Linked DNA regions of Alligator mississippiensis. Each later gene encodes a partner of the first gene's protein in a complex. Links are inferred from orthologs where the notes say so. Each region holds a gene or a part of one and is shown on either strand. Other genes may lie near its edges.

Region 1 (7,038 bases):
ATGGGATGCGATTGTGGGATCATGCATCAGATCTCCTGCCATGCACGTGTGGCATGACAGGAAGTGCAATTGTGTGGATTGTGCATCAGATCCCATCACGCCTTCACCTGTACGTCTAGAGGGGCCCCAAGGCAGCCCACCGTAAAATTATGACAAGAAACACGACGTGAGAAATTATGAAAAGAGATTAAACTGTTGTATAGCAAGTCTAAGTACTGTGCAACCTACACCCGACTGCTGATTTGTTTAACCTGGATGACAATACAAACACAAAGTGTACCTCACAATTTCAACTCTAGTTGCACATTCTGACTGTTTTTCTTTCCATTGTGTCTCATCCCAGTCCAGTTCATAGAACACAACCACAAGTGCAGGTACCAGATTCAGATGTTTGTTCATCCAACCAGTCTTCAGTATCCCTTTTGGAATGTACCACTCATAAGATGTCCTCTGAAATTGTTAAAATCGATCAGTTATCAATCCCAACTAAAGTTGCCATATTTGGGAACTCTTTGTATACTGTTGATCTTGAGGATGCATTTATCATCTTTTATCCAACAATCTTGCCTTCTACACTGAAACTTAATGCTATCTTTTGGTTATGATTTCATTTAGCCATCATATTTAACCAACTGGTATTATAAGCACACAAACATCACTGGAACATTAGATAAAAACAGAAGTCTTTGAAATCCCAGGGAACTGAGATGGGAGTGGATGGACCGGAAGGAGAGAAAAAGAATACAATACTAAAATACACATTACGTCCAGTTATGTCCAGGGATAAAAAGTTATATTCTTCACTTATGGAATCATTTTGTGCAAAAGGAAAAAAAAAAAACACAAACAAACCAACCAAACCAGTATTGTAGAGCAAAAAAGAAGTCGAAATTTGAGAACTGAAGCCAGGTCTTTTGGTGTCTAGTTCTCAGCCCTTGGTATGGACTATGCTGCTTATCAGATGCCAAACTTTGACAGTACTTCCTAACTCCTTCTGCAGCGCAGTAAGTAGGCTACAAATACTATCTTCTACTGCAACTCACTCAGTCAAAATTGAATAACTGGAGTTCGGATGTTGTCCAAGTTACAGATTTATAACTTTAACAGGTAATTCTTCCAGATTTCATGTAACTAGAGTGTAGAAAGAGCCATGTTAATCTGAATTCAGGCAGAAAGCAGGTCAGAGTAGCACCTCAAAGACCAACTCCTTCGGAAAGTTATAATCTTTCATAGGTGAGTGTCTACCTCATCAGATGATGTGAATGTACTTGCAGAGAGGAAAGATACCAAGTGGGGAAAAAATAACTTAAATATAAGGATAGGGAAAGGAGATGGGAAGGGGACTGATAAGAGAGGCAACAGTGGGTTGAAGACATCAGAAAGGATTAAACAAAGCAGTTAACCCACTAACGGACATAAGGGTTATAAAAAGATAGTCCAGAGATAATCCAGAACCTCTGTTGAGACCATAATTAAGGATCAATTCAATATCATTTCTAAAAAACACACAGGGCGCTTATACACATGCTCCAGGAGGTGGACGGAGGGTGCTTTAATTAGAGTGGCCTCCCCACACTTCAAAATGGTGTGGGGGGGGGGGGGGGAGGGCCGCTTTATCTAAAGCTTGTTAAGTGAGCTTTAGATAAAACGCCCCCCCTGCCATTTTGAAGTGCGGAGACACTGATATAAGAGTCACAGGAGGCTACTGGAGCACAGGAACTGCCACACTCTAGCAGACGTGATTAATCAAGTCTGCTCATGTATAGGCACCCACAAGCCTGTGGTAGAGCACTAACTCCCTGGGAATGCCATCACTGACCAGAGAGTAGCTGTTCATAGGCAACAGACCACTAAAAGCCAACCTGAATGCAAAAGTGCAGATTAAGAAAACACCCACAGGTAGGTCTGTGTTAAATATGGTCTCAGCAGAGATTCTACCTGCCTTCCACATAGCAGAAAGTAGTAGTAAAGTTTTACAGAGTAATCACGAACAGCAAACATTTTACAATAAAAATTTGATCTCTCCTATAAGATTGAATATTTTTTTAATGAGAGAAATAGATAGACTGACTTTGGACTATACCTTTGTTCTGCATTTGGGATATTCATGATCACCAGGAAGTACTTTGAACGAAATCGGGACTCGATCTGCTCTTCTATTAGCACAAAATGCATCCCAGACTGCACGGTGAACAGCATTGTATATAAGATCCAAGCCCGTGAGGGTTACAAATGCCATAGGACGACAGCACAGCTCCACAGGGAAGTCCCACTGCGTCGGGGTCATCTTGAGCTCGTCTTAACCCTGAAATACAAAAGTGCCACATATTTCAGACCACTTCCTGAGCAAGCAGTTCCTGACCGCATGCAACAGCCATCATTCTCCTAACGAAAGCAAGCTGGCCCCTGCAAGCAAGAGGCTGGCCTGCTCCACTGAGGCAAAATGTATTTTGGGAACATGGAAGATGCAGGCATTTCTCAGCCACTGATATTTTTTCTTTTAAGATGGTTTTGTTTTTAAGGAACCTTGATGAAGGTCTCACGCCTTGATGAACCCTTGACCAGGGTTGCTCCCTGAAGACAGAGGGCACTGGGAAATCTTCACCTCTTGCTTCTTTCCAAGCCTGACTAGAGACACCCAGAGAGGTTTTTGTTTTGTATCTTGTTCACAGCCAGACCAATTCCAAGCTGAATGGGCCAAAGCCCAACAACCAGACTCCCAAATTCAACTAAGCAGAGCTCAACCGCCAAGTCTGCGGGGCTGGGCAGCCAGGCCAGGCAAGTCTCCTGCCCCCACCCAGGCCCCCTGGCCTAGGGCTTGGTGCGAAGCTGCGGATACTCCCCAAGCCCCCAGCAGGCGCCCACCGCGCATGCTCAGCCCCGGGGCAGAGGCCTCCAGGTTGCACCGGGGCTGGGACCCAGTCACGAGGCCAAGGGAGCAGCCGTGGGGACACAAACGCAGCCCCCCGGGTCCAGGCAGCGTTCTCACCTCCCGTGCTCCCACAGTTCCTCCCGCCCAGCCCAGCCGGCACCACTGCAGACAGCAGAGAATAGCCAGGAGAGCCAGGCAGCTCCACCTGCGGAAGCAAGCACCAAGCGTCCGATTGACAGCCCGCTGCGCCAATCGGCGGCGCCCAACCCAACGACCAAGCCCATCATTGGCGCGCATGGAGACGGTCCGCGGGGAGCGCGAGGGGCGGGGCCACGAAACTGGCCAATCGCTAGAGGGAGGGGGCGGGCCCGGCGACTTGGGACCGGGACCAATCGGCGATCCATGAAGCAGCCTGGCAGAGGAACTGGAGCGGCAGGGCGGGGCTTGGCGTTTGCGCATGTGCGCGGCTTTCCTGCGTGTTCGCGTGCTGCCGGGTCGGGCTGAGGGCGGGCAGCGGCAGGGACCTCCGGGGGGAGGTCTCCTCCCCCTCACGCGCCATGACGGCGAACGAAGACCAGGAGGTGAGATCCCCCACTCCACGTCACAGGGCTCTCCTGCCCCCACCTCACCCCGCGGGGAGACGTCACACACCGCGGGGGCGGGGCTGCTCTCGGGCACCCCCGCCCGGCGCCTGCCTTAAAGAGGCCGCGGGCGCTGCTTGGGGGGGGTCTGGCCTTGCCTTGTCTCTAGGGCTGGTCCGTCCTTCCCACCCCACCCCACCCCACCCCCGGAACCTGCAGGTACCGTTTATTGTGTGGCCCGCCATAAATGTAACGTAGGGGAGGCCTGATTTGAAGGCAGCGTCTAGTGCACAGGGATGGCCCATGGGGCAGGTGCTGAGAGCTGGAGGAGGGAGCAGGGCCATAGCAGCTTGAGGGAACCTGGCACCAGCAGTTAGCTGGTGCTGCCAGGTGTGAACGGAGATCACTGGTGCCAAGTGGAGCAGCACTGTCGCCTCCTGTGCTTTACGCAGGGCTGGATTAAGGCATACGCAGACTGAGCATGTGCCGGGGGCCCTAAGTGAAGAGGGAGCAGTTGTGGTTATTTGACATATTACAATTATTGAGTGAAAAAAGTCATAAAAGCTTCATCTGCAGCTGGGGGCCCACAAGTTTGTTTGCCTCGGGCCTGCTAAAGGGTGAACCTGGCCTGGCTTTACGTCTAGTGCTCTTGTCAAAGCGCAGCCCAAAACGGCCTTTTGTTTCTTTCTTCTTTTTTTCTGCAGCTACCTGGCATCACTGACTCCTGTTTCTACAAATGTAATTTTTAAAGCTGTAACTTGAAAGGGTATGAGAAGGTGATACAACATTTGGCACGGGCAGTAGGAAAAAATCACCTCCCGTGTCATTTGGCTGCATTGGGCAGCTGACAAGCTCCAGAAAAAGTTTTCATTTTTTCCGTAGTCCTTATTATGAAAAGATTAGCCAGGAGGCTTTTGTTTGATTATTGTGGGTTTACAACTTCAGTGGATCCAACATCAGGTTGAATGGCATAATGCTATAATTGTGCCAGTCAGTGGCATCTTGGGGCATTTTTACATGTGCTTTGGGGGTGGGTGCTTTAACTGGAGTTGCTCTGAGGGTGGAGCTGCTCTAATTAAAATGCTGCAGCATCTCATGTATCAGCCTCCATGCATGTCAAAATAGCAGCGAGGGTGCTTGACCTAAAGCTCATTCAACTTCAACTTGTTAATGGTCTGAAGGTACAGCAAGGGAGGTTTAGTTGGATATTAGGAAGAACTTTCTCACTAGGGGACTGGTGAAGTACTGGAACAGGTTACCTAGAGAGGTGGTGGCAGAGCCAACCATAATGGGGTGCGAGGCCTGGGGCAAATCAGCCTGCGTGGGGTCCCCTTAACACTGCACAGGGCTGTGGTACCCCTGCAAAGGGGGTGGGGGAAATCTCTGTGCTTCTTCCGCAGTGTGGGGCTGGGCCACAAGCTCCAGGTGCGCCCTGTGGGAGGGCCTGCGACCACTCTGCCTGGCTCTGTGGGGCCCCCCCAAAGTACGGAGTCTGGGGCGGTCGCCCTGATTCACCGTATCCTCGGGACGGCTCTGGGTGGTGGAACCTCCATCCTTGGAGGTTTTCAAGACCCGGCTAAACAGAGCCTTGACTGGGATGATCTAGTTGGGGATGGTCCTGCTTTGAGCAGGTCCCTTCCAACCCTAAGTTTCTTTGATTCTATACACAAGATGCAGAGACTGGCTGGAGCAAACTAATTATCACACTCCAGCACGTAATTACAGCACGTTGGAGCAGCCTTTCCAACATGTCTACAGGCACCTTTGGATTCTATTTGGGGACAGATCTACTTGGACCCCTTTCATAAAAAGGGATCTTGTAAGTGAGGAGCTATTTTATTTATAGCAAGTGTAATGAAGATAGAAGCATTCTTTAGATATTGTTTGATATTTTCCCATGGAAAGTCACAAAATTAAGATTTAAAAAGTCCTAGTTGTCTGAAATCCTATAATGTTCACTCAATTGAGGAGTTTCTGAAAGTTTTTTTATGAAGATGGATTATTAGCTTATGCTAATGTTTGGACACCCTTGTGTAGCTTACCCTGGAGTATGTTTGATACCCTTGTGTAGCTTAGCCAGAATAATTTAGATTGGTATCCTGTGTTTAAACTTGTTTTCTGGAAAACTGAAATTGGATTATAGTAGTACCAAACAAGACTGAATCAGTTACATTTGTTGGCTGTATTTTTATGGGATCTATTGACCTATGTAAACACAATTCAATGAATGTATACTTTGCGTGTGTGTGGTGTATGTGTGGTTGTTCTGGCTTGACCTTTTTACATAAAACATTTAGAAAAACATTAAACTGAAGTATTAGATTAAAATTGTTAACTGTTTTCTTTATCTCATCTTTCTAGATGGAACTAGAAGCTTTACGTTCTATTTACGAAGGAGATGAGCGTTTTAGAGAACTTAGTCCTGTTTCCTTTCAGTACAGGGTAAGACTTCATGAAGTTTTGTAGCTAAATGGAATATGTTGTATATATTACAAAATAGTTTCTTAAAACATATGGCTATTCACCTAGTGGACAATTATAGCATAAGGAACTAGATTGATGAAGCTACTTGGAACATGGACATGTTGACAGATTACTTGCGGCAGATCAGTCTGACCATGTCGGAGCCCCTAAAAGTAGTTCAGCCCCACCTGCAATAGTGGCAGATACCCCAGGATGACTGGCTATCTTTTCTCCCCAGAGCCTGTTTTTTTGTGTGTGTTGTGCCTTGAGTGTCATCTCTCTGGTGTGTTAAAGGCACTGGGCATCTGGCTTCTAGAATGGAATCAACAGTTCTATGTAAAGTCAAGTCAGTCCTGAGGCCATTGAGGCACCTTGGATGCTGTGCATCACTGGTGATTCTTTGGGCAGAGTGACCTGGTGACACCCATCTCCCCTCCAAGTATGGAAGGCGATTGGCTCGCAGGGAGCTCATGTGCCCTTTGACAGGTCTTGTTTTTAGTCCTGCTGAGCGTCCACACGCCCTCCTCACCCAGGCTAGCCCAGGTGGGGATACCAGTTTAGTCATCGACAACCCAACCATGGAACAGGCTGTACCAGTTGACATGGTACCAGATAGCAGACCGAGAGAGGCCTGGTCTGATGGGGTCCCTGTATAAAGCATGGTCAGAATTAGGCATCTCAGAATTAGATCTATAAAGCCAGCAGACTGAGGAGAGCACCTCCTAAGCAAGCCAATGAGGGAAAAAGAACAGGAGTACGTCTCAAGCCATACCTTAACTATCAATACTTAAGCACCAGAGAAGATTCATAGCTCAAAACCTTTCTTCTGCAGTTAGATGCCAGAATAATTTCTTTAAAAAAGGCAAAGAGAACCTGCTACGTTTTAGGCAGTCTTTTAGAAGGTTGCAGTGATGGTCTCTTACGTAGCATCCTGGTAGTTAAAGAACTCGCCCTGTATGTGAAAAGCCTAAGTTTAGTGATCACCTGAGCCAGTAGGAGTAGAAACCTATATTTTCTACCTCCCGAGAGAATGCAGAAAAAAATTCAAGATTCTCCTGAGCAAGATGATTCAAGAGAGCAAGATTAAACAAGATTCTATATCCTTCTGGCTAGATCATTCGC
Region 2 (7,654 bases), on another chromosome or scaffold:
GCAAGGGAGAGGCCACTTTTCCCCATGCTCCACACCAGCTCATCCCCTGCCCTTCCCCCTCCCACCCACCTGAGCTTCCCGTGCCAGGGTAACCACATGATCCAGGCCAGAAGCCCCTGTTGGGGCTTCAGGCTGGGGGGGGGGGGGGGGGGGGCAGGCAGGCCCTGGTGTTGAAGGAGTCCTCCAGGGCTTCCCCTCGATCCTACTACCCTTGGTTTCTGTCATCTTTGACAGGAACCAAGGGCAGATATATTTTAATTTTCTAAATTTTTTTAGGGGCCCCATAGGCCAGATAGAACAGCCTCGTGGGCCATATTTCGCCCACCCCTGGTGTAGCATGAACTGAACTAATGTAGCTGATGTTAACATAGAGCGTAATAGTAGTGAAATGTAACCATGTTAGTTTTGTCCTCTAAGTAACTTGAAAATTCCATTTTGTTTTCTTTTGCTTGACATAAGTGAATGAACTCTGCATGCCCTTTTATGAATGAGTGTATGTGAAAGGGTAAATGGTGAGAGAATGGCATAGAGACAGGACAAGAAGATTTAGCTGTTTATGTAAGCAACAAGGTACCAAATGTAAGTTACCAACCAGTAAGCTAATTAATAATTGGTTGAAGAATCCCTTTGAGGCCTAGGGCACAAAGGAGGTAACGAGGAAGAATGCGCACATCCTGCCAGATGGGCAGCAAGGACACTCCAAGGCTGAGATACCAACTTTTATGACCATACTGACTTTGGGCTGAGATAAGCAGAAGATGGATGAGAAACAACTGCAAAAATAGAAATTGCATATGGAAAAACCCCGAAGTGCTAAACAAAGGATGCCAACCCCCATAAAAAGAGGAATCTAGAATATACCAGGTTCAGTATATCCAACTCTCTCAACTGCTGTTTCTTTGGAGCACAGACATGTCTGTTCACCCTGCTCCAAGCTGCTATCTCCAGGATCTCTCTCTCTCTCAATAAGACCTGGGCTGGCCACCCAGTGCTATTATTGAACAACTGCTGCTGGTAACTATGACAGAATGGAATGGTTGTTTTTAGTTTGTGTGCACCCGTGTGTAATGTTGTGTATGATGATTTGTGTGTGTGTTTATACGAGTGGTGTGTCTGAACCTCTATGTCCAATTCATGTAATCAATAAACGCAGCATTTTGCCTTATCCCCCTTTATCAGGTCTTGCTCTTGATTTAATAAATTGGTAATTCAAAGTAACAAGGGGCAGATCTAAGATTCAGAGTGACCTCAGCAAATTAGAGGATTGGATCAAAAAGAATCTCATGAGGCTCAATAAGGACAAGTACAAAGTCCTGCACTTAGGATGGAAAATCCTATGCACTGGTACAGGTCAGGGACCGACTGGCTAAGCCACAGCTTTGCTAAAAAGGACCTGGGGTTACAGCAGATAAGAAGCTGAATACGAGTCAACACTGTGCCCTTTGCATGAAGAAGGCTAACAGCATACTGGGCTGCATTAGCCTGAGTATTAACAGCAGATCAAGAGAAGTGATTATTCCCTTCTACTCAACACTGGTAAGGCCACATCTGGAGTACTGTTTGGTTTTGGGCCTCCCACTACAGAAAGGATGTGGACAAATTGGAGAGAGGCCAGCAGAGGACAACAAAAATGGATAGGGGGCTGGGACACATGACTTATGAGGAGTGTAACCATACATTCAGGCTTGGCTGGACATTCCCAGATTTCAGAGGCTGGCCCCAGCCGGATAATAAATTAAAATAAGCATCCTGGGTACAGGATGGAGTGGCAGAAGCTGTGAAATAGGAAGGCCTAGCAGACAGTAAAACTGCCCTAAAATCAGTTAGCTTGATTAGTGGAATGACCATTAAAAAGGGGAGATGACAAGTAAAGAACAATAAGTCACTGACTCCCTTAGCTGTCTGAATAGTATTACTAGAGCTGCACCAAGCTGCATCAGTGACTTGAGGTGGGTAGGGGGGGCAGCATCCCAGGTTTCACATTGTCCCATACAGTCACCCTACTTACAAGGAGAGGCTGGAGGACCCGAGCTTATTTAACCCAGAGAAGAGAAGACTGAGTGGGGATTTAACAGCAGTCTTCAACTGCCTAAAGGGTGGTTCCAGCAACGATGGAGCTAAACTGTTCTTAGTCATGGCAGATGAAACAAGGAGCAATGGTCTCAAGTTGCAGCATGAGAAGTTTAGGTTAGATATTAGGAAAATTCTCACTAGGAAGGTAGTAAAGCACTGGAACAGGTTCCACAGAGAAGCTGTGGAATCTCCAACCTTGCAAGTTTTTAAGACCTGGCTAGACAAAGTCTTGGCTGGAGTAATAGTCACGGATAGTTCTGCTTTGAGCAGGGACCTCCCAAGGTCCCTTCCAACCCTAATTTTCTATGATTCTGTGTACAAGATAATTTCTTGTAAACATGATCAAAATCATTGTCAAGAGTGAAGATAAAAGATTTGGCAGATACAAAATGACATGAATGTTGTATTCAAGGAACTGAGCAAAGCTGCTTATTTATTAGCCAGTTTAATGAAAACCTGATGATCTGCATGACAGCAAGATTAAACTTTGTCACATGGTGCTAACTTTAATGATGCCCAGGTTACAGCTACCTTCCCATATAACCTGTTGCCCTTGTGCTCCCACTAGGCCAGAGTCCCCAGACAGCTACTGTGTATTGTCCAGAAAGTAAGTCTGTGCTGCTCCTGTTGTGAACAGCAATTGTGGCAGGAGCTAGATAGTTTGAGAGCCTTATCTAACTTGTCATCAAATGTACTGGGTATTACAGATGGATTTCATTCTATGACCCCAAATAAGATTTAAGCCTCAGTTATCAACCTGAGTGTAACATTTAATTCTGTGTCCTGGCCATAAAATGGTGAGCAGAGGTAGGCAACAGTAGTGACATGCCCTAAGGGGGTGACCACGGCACCAGACCCAGTTGCCCACCCCTCATAAGACTACTGATAATGAGCAATGGTCAGACATGAGAAAGTATTGTATCCCATAAAGAATGGGTTGCGCCCTAGCAAACACAGCACACAAAAAATTAATTGCTATAGCAACCCCATGCTGTCACCCAGCCAAAGAATCTTTATTAAGTATTTCATTCAGTTGCCCTTTCTTTGAACATCTGAGTTTTGAAGCCTACAAGAAACTACCCCATTGCAACATGAAAATAAGCCAACAGTTTGATGTCTGAGTTTCCCACGTGGGACAAATTCAGAAAGAAACTGCAACACCAGTAACAATATTTGAATAGGATCTAGACCCAAGGTGACCAAGGTACAGCCTTCAGGGGTTCCCATATCTCCAAGAGTTTGGTGGCAGAGTAAACTGCAGAGGCTCCTGGAGACAAAGCTTTTAACACTGTCACCACTCATCCTGCTGACCTAATTTCTGGACCCCTAGCGAGCCCCATGGATGCTGGCTGGCACGGCCCCACATGCTGGATCAGCCCAGGCAAGGATTTTTGGGGTGACATTTTTTATGATATCACTCGCACATCACGGCAGATAGCATCCTGAACTGGATTCCTCCTCCCCGTGAAAGAAGCACACGTCTCCCTCGGTCTACAGGAGAGGAAAAAAAAGCACCCAGGAAGATCTCTTCAGAGACAGGGCAAAGCACTTACCCTGCGGCGGGGTTGAGGGTAAGGAAGTGATATGGAAGAAGCGAGGGCCGGGAAGGGGGCAACTGAGTGACAGTCATCAAGAAGCAGGGCCGGACAGGCTCTCTAGAGGTCAGTTAAGCCCGTGGTTCTCAACCTTTTGTAAACATTGATGGCTAGGCCCAACCCAGTAAACAGTTCAAGCAGAAAACAACCTCCTGGCCCTGCCAGGGCCCCTCACTCACAACCCACAGACCCCCATGCTCCCAACTCTGCTGGTGCCCCTCATTCCCAACCAGCTGCCCCTTGCCCAAGGCCCCAGGCCGCCAGTGTTGGGGCATTGGGGGGGGGAGGGGGAGGAGGGCACGCTGCCCTCACCTTCGCTAACCACTACTGTGCCGTCCCCTTGGGCCACAGCTCTACCCCAAATAGAACATGGGGTGGCAGGTGTTGCCTGTGCCCCCCTGCCATGATGTCTGTACTATAGTCCCCCTACCCCATAGACTTACCTGCTGGGAGCTGCAAGAACTGCTCTCCATGCTGCCTGGCTGCCATGTGCATGTGTGCATGCATGTGGTACCCGCTACCTGGTCACCCTCCTCCACTCCTCCCAGCCCCAAGCAGTCCCTCACAGGCTGGAACTCTGCCAGCCTGCAAGAGGAAACCCGCTGTTTCCCACGTTTCTCTTAACAAAGAAAATCCATTTTATGAAGTTTGTTTGAGACCCTTTCACATATTCCCGTGACCCACTTTTGGGTCATGACCCACGGGTTAAGAAACGTGGATCTAATCCAACCCGCCCTGCCCAAGGCAGGATCATCCCTACCCAAACCATCCCATCCCATCCAAGCCCACTGTCTAACCTCCCAGCAAAGCTCCCATCAACATGGATGCAACGCAAGACCTAAACCAGGCACAGGGAAGCAGGGGGCACCGCAGCCCACGTCCTGCTGCATGCAGGTTGCCAACACCCCCCAGGCCGCACCCCTCTGGCCACGGGAGAAGCATCCTTCCTGACCCCAAGCGCAGAGGTGGGTGTGACTCTGCGCCCAGAGCAAGAGCCCGGAGCCAGAGGCTTGCGGCTCAAAGCCTCAGCAGGACAGGCGCATTGTCACAGCACAGGGCCCGCGCGAGGTCCTCCGTGCAAAACTCAGAAACCCCGAGAGGGGACAGGGACTCCCTCCCGACGCCTGGGGGCAGAGCGTGGCCACAATTCCGCCCTGCGCCTGCGCACTCTGCTCCAGCGCCGCCAGTCCCTGGGAGCACCTGGAACGTACCACCTCGGGCGCGCACCTGGGAGGCGCGCACCTGCGAGGCGCAAACCTGGAACGTACCACCGGAGGCACGCACTTGGAACGTACCAACATTACCTGCAGCTCCCTGGCGCGTGGCAGGATCCGAGCCCGGGTAAGCATTAAGTCCTCCCCACACTTTCCCGCCCCGCCTCACGGAGCCGACACATACACACACACACCTGGAACTCCAGCCCATAAATCACCGGCGCGTCGTCTTCCATAGCTCTGCTGCCTCTAACTACGAGTTTTCAGTCCCTGCTTGCTGGGTGTTTTGCCCCCTGGTTTTTTGACCCACGGTGGTTTCCGTCACTCACTCAATTTCCGGGTGAGGAGGTAGCGCATGCGCTGCGAGGGGTTTGTCCTGCGTCTGGCGCAGGCGTAGTGGTTGCCGGCGCCTGTCCGGGAAGAGGTTCGGGGCGCCGAGCCGGCAGCAGGTGGGGCCGAGGCAGCGAGTCAGGGGCTGCTTTGGGGGCCCCGCGCGGGAGCGGGGCAGGCGGGGGCGCGGCGCTGCTGGCGGAGGAGCGCGTTGTACGCTCCCGAGAGTCGTTTGCTGCCGTTAGGCGGTGCACCCCGCTGTTGCCATGGCCACCGGAGCGACCGAGAGCCCCCGGGCCGGGCAGTCGTTGCGCGCGCAGCCGGCCGTGGTCGCGGGGAGCGGGACTTCCTGGGCCTCAGCACTGGGGCCCCCGCGGGAGCGGGTGAGGGGCGGGTTTGGAGGTAGGGGATGAGGTTAAGAAAACCCTGGTCCTCGCATCCCAAGTGCGCGGTAGAACCAGGGTCTGCTGCAGCGCATGGTAGCGTTGCCAGGTCTTCAATATGAAGTCATTGTATTGAAAGCTCTGAATTACCGTGTGTGCTGTACAGCTATCATACACTGAAAAAAATGCAAATAAGACTTTTTCTTATTTATATTCTATTGTCACTGTAAATCAGTGAGTGAGCGAGACCACACATTGTCAAAGTTGAAGCATTTTTTTATTTCGAGTCAAGCAGTCCTAAGAAAGCACTGACAGCAAACCCAAAAAGTCAGTTAAGACTCTCTATGAGTGATTTGGGCTTCGCATATGCTGCATCAATTAACCACCTAAAAAATTATCGCCTTTTTTGAACACTCTTACTATTATTGATTGTACGAGGGTTGAAATTATTGTACAGGTATGATCACGATCGTACACCTGGCAACACAGGTGCATTGGCAAATGCTATGTACCGGACACGTGTCAGCTGCTTGGGTTGGGCGGGGGTTGTTGTTCCAGAGCGCTTGTAGCAGAGCCTGGGCATCCCTGCTTGCCCCACTTTACCTGTGGCAGGTCAGAGTGTTAATAATGATCTTTGTGGGGGGCAGCTGCAGTGGTTAAATAGAACTGCGTGGGTACGTATGCCATTGGCCTTGTGTCCTTACAATGTTTTGTAACTCCACTGTTCATAATGGCAGAAAGTGGGTTTAAAACATTTTTGTGATCAAATGGATTTTTGTGATAAATTAACGTTCTAATAGTCAGATTACTGGATTTAGAAACTTTCATTCAGTCAATACTTTTGAGGTTTAGAATAGAAGTGTACTGTACTTGTTCAGCGAAACTAATTTCCTGCCTATTTTTCTTCTTTAGATGCAATGGAAAATAATGGAAGTAAGAATAAGAATGCTAAAAAGAGTGTTTCACATGAAGAGGATAGTGGGAATGAAGTTCAACAGGGAGCCCAGGAAGAACTTCTCTTTCATGAGGAAACCATTGATCTTGGTGGGGATGAATTTGAGTCTGAAGGGAATGAGACCATCTCAGAAGATTCCAATAACTTTTTAGATAAACTTAATGAACATATGATGGAGAGTGTTGTTATTTCAGATTCTCCAAACAATAGTGAAGATGACACTGGTGAACTTGGTTGCCTGCGGGAGATTGTAGAGCAAATGGAAGCCAAAAACATTCATGTAGCAGAAGAAGTGGATAAAGAAATCCTGAGTAATGAGAGTGAAATGGAACAAGAAGAAACACCCAAAGATGTTTCTGACATTGGAACAGATGATCAGGCATCTTTAAAGGAGGATTCAATTCAAGAAGCACCAAAAATTGGACAGAAGGTAGGAGACGAAGTTCCAATGGCCTCAACACCAAGTGATATTGATGAAAGTAAAACTGAGGAGCAAATATCATCACCACTTGCCAGCAGATCATCTCCTGACGCTGAGCCAATCCCTGTGTGCACCATTTTCAGTCAAGCAAGCCATGCTAATACTCAACTACAGTTGTTCCTACATGATGGCTTTGAGCCTCAGATGGTAAAGTCTCCTAGTTTTAGCAGTGTAAATGAGACTCCAGCGAAGTCTCAGCCACAGGTGGTTCAACCAAGTCCTAGTCTAAGCAAGTTTTTTGGTGATACTGTTAACACTAATACTCTAGCTTCTGACTTTTTTGATTCATTTACTACATCCGCTTTTATTTCTGTCAGTAATCCTAATGCAAGCTCTTCAGTACCAGAACAAATGTCATCTCTTTCTACAGTCGGAGATCGTTCACATGCCTCTGCTGACCCCATCTATGCAGGAGGAAATGAGAGATCTGAAGCAGGTGGCCCCCCAGCATCTTTAGAAATATCAGAGTCTCCCAAACCATTTTCCCAGATCCAGGCTGTTTTTTCTGGAAGTGATGACCCCTTTGCCACAGCCTTGAATATAAGTGAACTAGACAGAAGAAATGATGCCTGGCTTCCTAGTGACGAAACCAGAAATGTTTTAATCTCAGTAGCCACACAGCA

Evidence for each region. Proteins that work in one complex are often made in the same cells at the same time.
Region 2: TRAPPC11 (region 1) and TRAPPC12 share a complex: the UniProt entries of both Homo sapiens proteins name them as parts of the multisubunit TRAPP (transport protein particle) complex. The link is inferred for Alligator mississippiensis from reciprocal best matches to the Homo sapiens genes TRAPPC11 and TRAPPC12.

What each region holds. Positions count from the first base shown.
Region 1 is NC_081825.1:71,702,933-71,709,970, forward strand, and holds the start of TRAPPC11 (trafficking protein particle complex subunit 11), read right to left. Parts: upstream 3,098-7,038; 5' UTR 2,990-3,097; intron 2,306-2,989; 5' UTR 2,288-2,305; coding exon 2,084-2,287; intron 451-2,083; coding exon 281-450; intron 1-280. Other genes in the region: RWDD4 (RWD domain-containing protein 4), read left to right, coding at 3,430-3,453, 5,815-5,895. UniProt on the Homo sapiens protein: Involved in endoplasmic reticulum to Golgi apparatus trafficking at a very early stage.
Region 2 is NC_081824.1:36,432,651-36,440,304, reverse strand, and holds the start of TRAPPC12 (trafficking protein particle complex subunit 12), read left to right. Parts: upstream 1-4,646; 5' UTR 4,647-4,972; coding exon of another isoform or gene 4,973-5,017; exon of another isoform or gene 5,018-5,032; intron 5,033-5,076; coding exon of another isoform or gene 5,077-5,118; exon of another isoform or gene 5,119-5,221; intron 5,222-5,250; exon of another isoform or gene 5,251-5,331; intron 5,332-6,507; 5' UTR 6,508-6,512; coding exon 6,513-7,654. Other genes in the region: EIPR1 (EARP and GARP complex-interacting protein 1), read right to left, coding at 5,077-5,118. UniProt on the Homo sapiens protein: Component of the TRAPP complex, which is involved in endoplasmic reticulum to Golgi apparatus trafficking at a very early stage.